Linked DNA regions of Tribolium castaneum. The protein of the gene in region 1 purifies or fractionates together with the protein of each later gene. This does not show direct contact. Links are inferred from orthologs where the notes say so. Each region holds a gene or a part of one and is shown in the gene's direction. Other genes may lie near its edges.

Evidence for each region.
Region 2: the proteins of Cyfip (region 1) and HSPC300 purify together in Drosophila melanogaster (affinity purification with western blotting; 4 studies listed by BioGRID). This does not show direct contact. The link is inferred for Tribolium castaneum from reciprocal best matches to the Drosophila melanogaster genes Cyfip and HSPC300.
Region 3: the proteins of Cyfip (region 1) and SCAR purify together in Drosophila melanogaster (affinity purification with mass spectrometry; 3 studies listed by BioGRID, with this or other methods). This does not show direct contact. The link is inferred for Tribolium castaneum from reciprocal best matches to the Drosophila melanogaster genes Cyfip and SCAR.

What each region holds. Positions count from the first base shown.
Region 1 is NC_087403.1:2,184,250-2,188,152, forward strand, and holds the end of Cyfip (cytoplasmic FMR1-interacting protein), read left to right. Parts: coding exon 1-142; intron 143-182; coding exon 183-265; intron 266-311; coding exon 312-628; intron 629-674; coding exon 675-1,243; intron 1,244-1,290; coding exon 1,291-1,482; intron 1,483-1,528; coding exon 1,529-1,827; intron 1,828-1,874; coding exon 1,875-2,113; intron 2,114-2,158; coding exon 2,159-2,306; intron 2,307-2,353; coding exon 2,354-2,551; 3' UTR 2,552-2,726; downstream 2,727-3,903. Other genes in the region: Duba (OTU domain-containing protein 5-A), read left to right, coding at 2,910-2,978, 3,245-3,333, 3,380-3,872. UniProt on the Drosophila melanogaster protein: Plays a role in guidance and morphology of central and peripheral axons and in synaptic morphology. Also required for formation of cell membrane protrusions and for bristle development.
Region 2 is NC_087396.1:20,957,466-20,960,697, reverse strand, and holds HSPC300 (probable protein BRICK1-B), read left to right. Parts: upstream 1-1,709; 5' UTR 1,710-1,725; coding exon 1,726-1,846; intron 1,847-1,891; coding exon 1,892-1,974; intron 1,975-2,023; coding exon 2,024-2,050; 3' UTR 2,051-2,051; downstream 2,052-3,232. Other genes in the region: superkiller complex protein 3, read right to left, coding at 1-456, 502-691, 738-970, 1,362-1,445; ATP synthase subunit s, mitochondrial, read left to right, coding at 2,052-2,618; Not11 (CCR4-NOT transcription complex subunit 11), read right to left, coding at 2,623-3,081, 3,128-3,232.
Region 3 is NC_087399.1:10,151,184-10,156,420, reverse strand, and holds the start of SCAR (actin-binding protein WASF3), read left to right. Parts: upstream 1-2,113; 5' UTR 2,114-2,273; intron 2,274-5,237. Other genes in the region: uncharacterized protein LOC107398411, read right to left, coding at 429-1,085, 1,140-1,541.

The sequences.
Region 1 (3,903 bases):
AGGACAATGCTGGAGTCGCTAATTGCCGATAAATCAGGCGGCAAAAGAACCCTGAGGAAGGACATAGACGGTCAATATTTAATGCAAATTGACCAGTTCCACAAAACCTCCTTCTACTGGAATTATCTTCTCAGTTTCAGTGGTACGTACAAAAACATTGATATTAATTCATTTCCTCCCAGAATCGTTGCAGCAATGTTGCGACCTGTCGCAGCTGTGGTACAGAGAGTTCTACCTCGAGATGACCATGGGACGGAGAATAAACGTGAGTAACGCGTAATTTTGCCAAAAATTTGCCAAACTTTTCATAGAAATGCACCGTGCGTCACGCTCATAACGAAGAATGTAACGATTTGATCACGATGGAAAAACGCATACAATTCCCAATCGACATGTCCATGCCTTGGATTTTGACTGATCATATTTTGAAAACTAAGGAACCCTCGATGATGGAGTACGTCTTGTACCCGCTTGATTTATACAATGATAGCGCGCTTTACGCACTGACAATATTCCGAAAGCAATTTTTATACGATGAGGTCGAGGCTGAAGTTAATTTATGTTTTGATCAGTTTGTTTATAAACTGAGCGAGCAAATTTTCGCGTACTATAAACAACTGGCGGCAAGGTATTGATAAAAATCATGGGAACGCTTTCACAATCAATCCTTTCAGTATCTTTCTTGATAAGCGCTTCAGAGTGGAGTGTGCCGCCTTGGGGGCTTACCTGCTCCCCTACCCGCGAGCAAATCGTTACGAAACCTTGCTAAAACAGCGGCACGTCCAGTTATTAGGGCGGTCGATCGATTTGAATAAGTTGATCACTCAGAGGATCAACACCGACATGCAGAAAAGTCTCGATTTGGCAATAAGTAAGTTCGAAGGCGGTGACATAACCGGGGTTATGGAACTGGAAGGCCTCCTACAAGTGAATCGGTTGTGTCATAAATTGCTGAGCAAGTGGCTCGCACTTGACGATTTCGATTCAATGTATCGTGAGGCTAATCACAACGTTTTGGCGCCCTATGGCCGCATCACCTTGCATGTGTTTTGGGAGCTGAACTACGATTTCTTGCCTAATTACGTCTACAATGCCGCGACGAACAGATTTACTAAGTATCGGGGGCAGATTGCTTTCGCGGGGGCTGTCCACAGAGATAAGCCGCCGCAAATGTCGCATCATTACATGTGGGGGAGCAAGCAACTGAACCTTGCCTACACGACTCAGTATGGCCAATATTCCGGTAAATCTAGCTTATGGTCCTAATTTTGTTTAACTAGTACGGTTTAGGGTTCGTCGGGCCTCAGCATTTCCACACAATGTGCAAACTCTTGGGTTATCAAGGCATTGCAGTTGTGATGGAGGAGCTCCTCAAAATTGTCAAAAGTCTGATCCAAGGGAACCTCCTCCAATTCACCAAAACTCTAATGGAGGTCATGCCAAAGCAGTGCAAATTGCCACGTTACGATTACGGCTCACCGGGTAATGATTTGCTTGATTTGGGCGGAATTAATAAGACGAATTTTAGGTGTGTTAAGTTACTACCACGCCCAATTGAACGACATTGTCCAATACCCCGATGCCAGGACCGAGTTGTTCCACAATTTCCGAGAATTTGGGAACATTATCCTGTTTTGTTTACTGATGGAACAGGCCTTGTCACAGGAGGAAGTCTGTGATTTGTTGCAAGCGGCACCGTTTCAGAATATCCTCCCACGGCCGTTTTGCAAGGAAGGGGAGAAGCCCGAAACGAAGCAGAAACGGCTTGAAGCCAAATATGCCGCCTTGCAGATTGTACCAAATATAGAGAAGTTAGGAACTGCAAAGGTTGGATAAATGTGCAAACAACTGTTTGTTATTTCGCCAATTTGTAGCAATCTTTGATATCGAAGGAGGGCGATTTATTGACCCGTGAGCGGCTGTGCTGCGGTCTCTCGATTTTTGAAGTTGTTTTGAACCGATTAAGGACCTTCCTGGACGATTCGGTTTGGGTCGGACCGCCGCCTGCTAACGGTGTCATGAACGTTGACGAATGCACCGAGTTCCATCGCTTGTGGTCGGCTTTACAATTCGTCTATTGTATTCCAGTTAGCGAGAACGAATATACTGTCGAGTGGGTACCGACTTTATGTTTCGTTTTATTTATTCCGTGTTTCAGGGAAATGTTTGGCGAAGGTTTGCATTGGGCGGGGTGTACAATGATCGTGCTTCTGGACCAGCAAAGGCGGTTTGAGGCCCTCGATTTCTGTTACCACATTCTGAGAGTACAAAGAGTTGACATGAAGGATGAAATTGTGAAAGGCATTGTATGTTGGTTGTACGGTTGTTTTCGGTCTATAATTGTCTTTCCCAGAGCTTGAAGAGAATGGTGGACAGGATCAGGCGCTTCCAAGTGCTCAATTCGCAGATCTTTGCGATTTTGAACAAGTTTTTGAAGTCGAGTGAGAACGACGAGTTGTCGGTTGAACATGTACGTTGTTTCCCGCCACCGGTCTACCCAATGAATCCGCAACAGCACTACCACGCACCCGAACATCTACGCCAGTGTTGAAGCACGTTTATTTTATACATTTGTTGGAATCAGCTTTCAACATTTTATAATCTTTTATATTTATTATAGTCCTACTACATGTGTAAATCTCATTACAAATGTATCGCCCACCCTCATTTATTATCGGCCTTATTGGTATTGCTTTAATTTTTCATAATAAAATTTTCGATGCCTGCTTGAGTGTGTTTTATTTCGCGCGTTGTTTCAAATTCAGGGCTGCCAACCGGGGACTTAGTCCCGCTGGTGACTGTTGATAGCAGCTGTTCGTCGTGTGTTGACAGTAGTTGAGAGATTTGTCAAACTATAGAAAATAATTCAATAATTTTGTAGTATTTTCTGTATTTTGAAAAATTAGACAATGACAATTTTACCAGCCAAAAGACCTTCGGCGAATCCGGAGGAGAAAAGCGACAATAGTCAGCAAAATGTGAGTAGATATGTTAAACTTGTCATTTTTGATCTTTTTTTAAGGAGAAACTTCATAATCATAAATCGTGTTATCTTTATTGTCAGCGTGTTGGACTAGCGAAATCTTTGCTTGATCTTGAAATTTTGTACACGATTGCGTAATTAGATAGGTTTAATAATGTAATAATGTAAAATAGGTAGGTAATGATTGCTTTCCAATACTAGCTCAAGAGCTGTCTAGGTCGGCTTCCTTTGTTCGAATAATTAAGGCCCGACTTTTTTTAGGGGAATTCCGAGCGAGCGGTGCGTAGGAGAGACGATATAAGTTCTCTGAATGAGGCAAGCCCTTCAAGCCGCCGATCTCAGTTCCCCTAGTAAGTTTCCACCCTCAATCGCGGAAAAATTCATTCTTGCTTCCAGCGTCAAGTCAACAACTGAGCGGAAAGAGCGTTTGAGGAAGCGATATAAAGAGCCAGATCGGGCGCGAGATAGGGAACGCGAGCGCGAACAAAAACGGGAAGTTCGGAGGGAACAAAAACGGGAACGAGTTGCTAAACGCGATATCTCAAATGAGCCTCTACATGACAATAATGCGAGTAATTCGGTTGTTGACTCAGTCGCTGTTGAGCCCACTTGCAACAACAACGAACCTGGGACTGCGAACAAGGAAGACTACACGGGCTTCAACAGCGAGGATGAGTACGATGACCAGGGACTCCTCAAAGAGCGGAACATACCGGATGAAGAGTGGCAAAAAAGGGACGTGTTATTTTCCCGCGGCATGTCCAACCTTGGGTTCGAAATCAAGCAAATGAACGAAGATGGGGCCTGTCTCTTCCGGTCGATAGCAGACCAAGTGTACGGCGACCAAGAATTCCATTATCAAGTCAGGCAGGACTGCATGAACTACATCGTAAGTTGTACGCAAAGTGGGGATTTTTTCT
Region 2 (3,232 bases), on another chromosome or scaffold:
TTTGTTTGCCGCATTTATGGCTTCGTCGTACAACAGGAGTTGCATACAACATTTTAGCAAAAGTACCCACGCGTGTACCAACCCGGGTAAAACCCCCACAACTTGCTCTAAAACATCTTTCGCTTCGATAATTTTTTTCTGTTCAACTAGTAAAATGCTTTGGGTGAATAGACCCGTAGCTGAAGGTGCCTCCAATTTAGAGAGACTTTCGCTGTAATTGGCCATGTTTTCGACCGATTCGATCAAAGTGCCGGACTCGACGTAAACCTCATTGAAAATCTTACAAATCCAACGCAAAGAAATCCAGTCTGATTCAAACATTTCGTGCATTTTTTTCGCCTGTTGTAATAATTCACCCGCTTTGTCTTGCTTATACAACAGGTTTAAATAATCGCTGAAATATTTCGTACATACGGTTTTTTGGTTGTTTAAGGCGAGTTTTAACGTTTCTTCGTACTAAAAAATTGGTTTAATTTGCAAAATTACGATTTAAAATCATACAATTGGGACCAAATCCGGTGCGAGATTTTCAATTTTTGATAAAATATTAATCAAACAAACTGCACATTCCGCACTGTCACACTTGCCCTCTTTCAGGACTGAAAAAATCGCTGTTACGATTTTAGCCAAGTCGCCGAATTCGCACAAATTTGCCAGTTTTTGGACACATTCGAGGATTTTTTTCTCGCCTCTGAAAAGGCTAATTATCTCATGCCAAATAATTTAAAATCAATTACGTTTCAATGCCAATTAGCGAAATGTAAGCATTAATTAAATCAAGTTTAGTTTCTTTAGTGTCGATTTTTTCGTAATAATTTATAAGACCGTTCCAAGCCAAGGGATTTGAAGGGTTTGCTTCGATTGCCTCCTGGAAAGCTTTCAAAGCTTTGGCGTTTTGACCGGTTTCCTGTAATGAGACTCCCAGGAAGACAAGGGCCATGTAATTGTTCTTTTCTTCTTTCAGTATTTGCTGCAAAAATACAATCGCACACACTAACAAACATAATTAAAGATAACGCTTATGCAACTAATTGCTACAAAGGTGCAGTCCAAAGAAAAAAAAGAAAAAAACAATGAATCAAACAATGATTGGATTCATCAGAAAATAGTGAACACATAAAAGTATTTTAAATTGCCAATGCTTTTATTAATTTTATTAAGTTAATTTCTACAAAAAAAAAACGGATAACTCCGACTATTTAGCAACAAAATTTCGAAATGATCGCAAATGATTATTTCAATTGGTAACAGATTTCAAAGTTTTTTTAGAAATTTGTAACCGGATAATTTTTAATTTTTAGTGTAAATTATGACAGTTTTACCAACCCCTACACCTTATAAATAATAAAAATTTCACCTACCTTGCATAGTTTCAAGGCAGTTTCATAATTCTTGTTTTTGATGGCATCTCGTGCCTCCTTCAACACTAATTTTGAGTCTTTCATGATTCACTCAAAACAATAACTTGTTTGGAAAAGCCTAACCTACAAATGCACTTTTTGCCACTTATTAGCTAGACTCGAAAATAACCAAAAGCGTACAAAACGAATCATTTGCACTTAGTATTTAATTAAAAAAAATATTTGTTTAATTAAATTACGAAAATAGCGAGCTTGTTTGAAACTTTTTCGAGGTTAGAGCATAGAATAAGAGAGAGGGTTAGAGTGTCAAGCAAAAACTGAAACTCCCTAAAAAGTAACCAACAATTTCGGTATTTTTGCGGAAATGGCTGCTCCTAGAGGAGAGACAGTCCCCAAGCCCATCCAACAAGACTGGGTAAACCGCGAATACATCGAAGTGATAACCGTCAGCATAAAAAAGATCACCGATTTCCTCAATTCTTTCGGTAAGTTTCCCCTTACTGTTGACACCTCGCAAAAATTATTTTTAGACTTATCTTGTCGATCAAAACTCGCCGTTTTAAACGAAAAGTTGACAACTCTCGAGCGAAAGATCGACTATTTGGAAGCTTGTGTAAGTCTCATTTACATAACACTGCGCTTTATTTACAAATAAACTGAAGGTCACCAAAGGGGAAACCTTGACATAAGATGCTCCTCACTCGCCTCAGCCACCTCCAAAGGCCGCTCATCCCCCACACGCGCACCCTCTTCCACTGGCTGAACATCGTCTTCAACCGCGTGGACGACGAACGACGGAAACAAGTGGGGCCTGACAGGTCTTGTGCCGAGTGGCTGTTGCGGAACGGGGCCCACGTCAAGTGGGAGCACTGCAACGAGTTTCTCACAGACTATAACAAACTGCCGAGCGACAGGATTAGGTTACACATCGTGGAAGTGAACGCGTCTGAAGCCAGCATAATGCACTACGGGTTTGACCATTTCGTGGGGTGCGAACACATCCGGAAAATCATTTTCCACAAGTGCTACTATCTGGAGAATGAGGCGTTGAAAGGGCTGTCGGTTTTAAAAAACTCATTACTTTATTTACAAATCACCGAGTGTTTGAATATAACAGAGCCGGGGCTGAGTCACCTCAACGCGTTGAATAACTTAAAAGAGCTGATTCTGGCCGATCTGCCGTACGTCAAAGAGAGGGAAAAAATCGTCGATAAATTACAGCACGGCCTGCCACATTGTACGATACAGTTCCATTAAATAATCAACCCTCGAGCTTTGCTTTCATTATCGTTGGCGAGGAGACAAGTCCGATCTGTTCCCCCGACTCCAACTGTTTCAATAGCCTGAACAAAGCGGCAGCTTCGCGAATGCGACTAAACTCGATACAAAACGCCTGAACTTCGATAAACAACTCCTGGACGTTGATTATTTTGTTGCGAATGAGCGACTGGAGAAACACACAAACCAGTCGAACCAGCCGATTTTGCATATAACGGTCCTTGATAGTCTCACAAGTCGATATGCAATTCGAAATGTACAAGTGGACAAACTCTGTGGGCAAATCCACGGTCGTTGTGAGCCGATTTACCACTTCCATGGAATGCAGCGACATTTCCATGTTGACAAGAACGCTGAAATATTCCGTTATTTGTTTCGATTGCATAAGCTTGAGCAAAACTTCAATCGCGATAAGTGGATTATTTTCCACCAGTTCGGGCAACTGCAAGCACTCAAATCAGCGAAAATCACCAAATTTCGATTCATACTTTGGACGGAGTCAAACCAATGTGGTACACAAGTTTTGAGTCGTTTTCCAGCTCGCCTAGCAGTTGTTGCTGCTGTTGCAAAGACAGCGCTGATTTGTACGCCTT
Region 3 (5,237 bases), on another chromosome or scaffold:
ACCCTGTATGTTACAGTTCAAAACACAACAGGGTTTGTTTTATCCGGAACAAGTAATTAATTAATGTTTTATAGTTTTATATTTTACTCAATGTTATTAACCATTTGCAATGTCTATTTATTTTTTTCTACAGCCGTCAAAAAATCGTGACATTTATGCATGGTTACCTATGCGCGAAGTTTGACGTTTTTTCACTGTGAAAAAATATTATTTTTTCACGGTTTCACAGTGAAAAAATAATATTTTTTAACTGTGCAGGCAACTCGATTTTTCAGATCATTTTGTTCCAACTTATTTCTGTTACAATTTTAGTAACACGAAAAGACATCAACAGCAACCGAAATGAAGAGACGGATCGATAATGAGAGGTAGTTTTAAAGGTTTTATAATTATACAGAACAATATTACAAAACAATAATAATAGATATTTACTTTGACATATGAAAATTAAATGTGCATGACGAAAACGTGCCCCCGTTTATCCCCAGAGGCCTGAGTGAAGACGCTTGTAAATGAAAGTTATTTTCGCCATTAAAAGAAGCCGATGTAGAAGGTTGAGTGATTTTGTTTTCTTCTGTGGAGGAAGAAGGTTGAATTTTATTGGCAATTTCAATTTTATTATTCAAAGAGTCCTCGATGTAACTTTCTGCCACTGTGCTGCTTCTCCAGCCCCCATGACGTTTAATTGAAATTAGATCACCTCCAGCATTCGCCAAAAGAGTGGCAGAGCTTCTTCTGAAGCAGTGACCAGTATATTTTTTAGGTTCGTCTTTGTTAAGCCACTTTGCAATCAAACTTGGTATCTCTCCGATTTTGTTAATTCCAACATTTTGATTCACACATTTTCCGTTGGTATACTTTAAAAATAAACGGTCACTAGTCGCCCGTGGAGGCCGCAAAGCTCTATATTTTCTGACAATTTCTATATTTTCTAAATTTGAAACAGTAAATATTCGTTCGCAGTGGGTTTTTGTATCAGGCACCTTCACAATTAAGACAGACTGTTTATCTTCTATGTCAGTTAGCTTCATTTTAACTAATTCTTCACGTCGAAGGGCTCCCGATATACCCAAAATTAGCACAGTCTATAAATAAAACGAGTTGTTTTGATTTGTATTACACTAATATGATAAGTTTACCTTCATCAGTAAATATATCTTGTCATCTGCTTCATTAATAAACTTGCTAATGTCTTCTTTGTCTAAAATTTGCGACTTCTTGCTTCTGTAACCTACGCTTTTGCTTTTCAGGTAGGGCACTAACTTCGGAAACTTACGTGTATCGATATTCTCTTTAACGTTTAAGGTGGCTTTCAACATCGCATAAAGGGCCCAGAGTGTTGGTGGCTTTAAGGTGGTAGACTTTTCTTCCAAATACGCCAACAAAACATTTTCCGTTACTTGATCAATCTTTTTCATAGAACACCACTGCCGAAACTGAAGATACGTTTTTTCGTACTGCGGTCTTGATTTAGCAGGCAAAAGATTCGACACTGCCGCGCTTGCAATTGCATCTATTTCGTTTTCGCTGCTAAAATCCATCACACTTCTTCAACAAAAATACCTATTGTGACAAATTTTTCGCAACTATCACTTTTATTTATCATCGTAACCATGCAAGCAACTCGATTTATCAGACCATTTTGTTCCAACTAATTTCTGTTACTTTTTTCTTCATCTGGAGGCTGTAGAAAAAACGTTGTTTGTATTTCGTGGCGAAATTCATGTTTTAATGGCGCCTTCGAATGTCTTTTAGGTCTCGACCTGGCGGTCTCGACTAAAATAACATTCTCAGGCGCCATTAAAAAAACACTCATTTCGCGCACTTAATACAAAAATTACTATTATTTTATAAATATAATAATTTAAGAAAAACAGTTTTTTATTACATAACGTTGCCAACACAAAAATCCCCAGTACGTTCCGCACGCCACTGGTAATTCCCCCAAATAAACATCAAGTGTCGAGCAATGACACCCTCATTCGCACAAAAATGTATTAAAATGAGGGTTTTCCCTCGCACGCCCCAATTTTATTTATTTTATCCCCAAAGTGGCCGCAATATTGATTGACGCGACGCCGCTGCTGTTGGTGATTTTCGCTCCGTGGGTGTGGCAGTCCTGCTCAATCGTGTTTGTTGGGTGTACCGCTTCGCCATTTTCTGCGATATTTATTAAATTATCGCCGTTTTTAACGAAACAATTAGTGTCGTGTGTGCAAAAACATGTGTGGCAACGTTTGCGCCCCCCAGTGAGTGTCCCAGACCATGCCGAGGTAAGAAATGGGCGGAAATCTCGACTCCTGCTAGTTGGCCTTTCCCCTTTCTATTTGACATTTTCTGCGAGAAATTGCCCCAAAATCTGGCCGTTTGCGGTGTCTGTTCGCGTAATTGCGACAAATGACTTGACCTTGCAGCTTGTGTTTGCTCATATTTGTTAAATGGGGCGTATGTGGCCCCCTAATGACTCACTTCCTTGTTGGAGACAGTATTGATGAGAGCGAAGCCAGTTTGGGGCACTTCCTGCCACGCTTTAGTTTATTAATTGGCGGTTAATAACCTTCACAGATGTCTTTCGCACGTCATGCACTAATTTATTTATTTCCATAAAGCGGTAACATATGGTGACGAAAACGGGAAACAGAGATTTAACCTTTTTTCTTCAAGAAATGTTGAAACGGTTTAGTTTTCACTTCTGTAGCGGTGCGTTTCAAAGTTCAATTGGTGAACGATTGCATTTTTTAAACGGAATTGATGTAATCACGTGTGATTCTGTTAAAATTTAAAGGGCACTTATTATTAGAAATGAGAAATCCAATAATTGGATTGGTTGTCGTCATAGTTACTGATTTTTTCGTCCTTCAACCCCTAAAATAACAATAACACAAAGGTCTACTACATTTGGGAAAGGTGAAGGAATACTTAAAATTAAATCACGCTAATCAGTTATGATAATTGTTTACTAAAGTGAGAATTGTTAAAAATCGATGTTTCTGTAATAAATGAATTGAAAACAAAAAAACGAGGTCAAAAACGCAATTTTTTCTAACTAATTTGCAAAAAATCATTCATTTTACATTTAATGGTTATTTTATTATAAATACTGTATTTTTATATCGGCATAACGACATATTATTGATGACCTTCGATGGAAATGTGATATTCTTCTAATTAAATTTTAAATAACTATTTTCTCAAAAATTAGGATATTATTCAGTTTAGAACTTAAGGGAGTGGCTTCCCTGATAAAAATTTACGTCGAAATTCTCTCAAAAATGTACTGCTTTATCTAGTGTAAATACTTAAAACAGGAATAATACTCCCAAGGTCTGAAGTGTTAATAGTATTTTGATGAATCATGGTTGTAATATTTTTCAGGTGTATTTAGGTGTTCCATATTCATATCTACTCTACACACATGTCTTGTCACACAAGTTTTTATCACATCTAGGGAACAACCAATTGATTCATATTCTTTATGAGCATTTAAATGATTTCAAAACACTGCCAAAAGTTTTGAATGTAATCAACAGAAGAAATTGAAAATCGATTTTTGCAAAATTATTTTTCATTAAATAATACCACACCCCTTTTTTTATTTATTTGTCCCAATAAGTATGATTAAAGGATTAAAGCCATACACAAAATTTTTGCAAAATCTAATCTATTAGAAAGCGTCTAAATGAAACTGTAGTCAGGGGAGCCCTGAAAATTTTATGAACATCTTCTAATCTTCTGTAACTTACGTTAAATATTGATTATAACCAAATTTTTTCTGAAAAAATTAACATTAACATTTTATTTTTTGACGATTTTTTTTACAAAAATAAAATAGACAACCAAATTATTGTGTAATAAAACGATTAAAAAAGCAAGAATAACACTAATTATGACATATTTGATGCGTTCCACAATAAAAAACATCCCAAAAAGCAAAAAAAGTAATTTTCAAGTTAAATTATTCATTTTTTGACCCATTTCATTAGAAAAGCTGAATTTAGAAACGTTTTAAAAGCAAAGCACCCATTACAATTTTTGACTTGATTTCCAAATGTCTGTGATTTCTATTGACAAGATCTCACAAAAAAGCTAAGTGTTTAGCTTAAAAACGATCTAACATGCTAAAAGAATATGCGAACACTGATTTCGATCTGCAAAAATAGTCATTTTAGATTTAAATTTGTATTGTTTAGACCCGCTTTAGCAAAATCTTTGAAAAAAAACTAAATTTAGAAACGTTTCAAAACAAATATAACGAAATTTTCGATTTGGTTTCATTATTTTTCTGGTTTCTAGCGCAAAATCATTACGTTTTTTAATATGATTCATCTAAATCTTGCTCTAAAAAGATCCAAAACGCTAAAAAAAACAAACATTACACTAATTTTGAACTGTATCAATGATTTTTTGGCTTTATTTTGGAAATTTTGCAAAATAAAGCATTTCTATGTGAAAAACGCCGTAAAAAAGTGAAAATGGAATCATTTTCAAGATAATTTTGTGTTTTTTGGCCGGTTTCAGCAAAACCTTGCAAAATAAACGTTTCCAAACGTTTTAAAAACTCAAAAAAACAAAAATAAGACGATTTTTTTCTTTTTTTTTAATTTCCATGATTTATATTGGAAAGATATGCCAATTTTGAGGTGTTTTAAAGGCTTTTGGCTTATTTTTGACAAAATTTCGTTAATAATTGTTTTTCAGAGTTATTTCGGATTAAGTAACTAATCTTTTGAAACAATATGAATTTTTTGCCAAAAAACAAAAATCTAAAGTTTTCGAAAAAAAGCAAAAGTAACAAACTTTGACTTATTTTAATAATTTTGCGGTGTATTTTTGACGAAATCACATTAAAAAATGCGTTTCTGATTGAAAATAGTACTACTATTATGGTTTTACAAAATGTTCATTGTGAAACCGAAAGTGGTTTCACAAAGAAAACTTTTATGCAATTACTTTTAGTAGATAGTTCTGTTGGATGTGCTGGACTGGGTGTCATCAGTCATAACTGTAATTTAGTGTGTAATCTGTCTAAAGCGTCAAGTCGTTTATTGATAAAGCCTGAATAATTAACAACATTAAGAGGAAATAGTTTGAACAGATTTTGATAAATTCAACAAAAAAAAAACAAACAACAAAAATAGAAAGTAGAAAAAATAGTATATTACACTCCTTCGTCGTGCTCCAAAACCATTCGTGTCACAATAGGACGTCTTATAAAACTCGTATATACTGTTACAGTT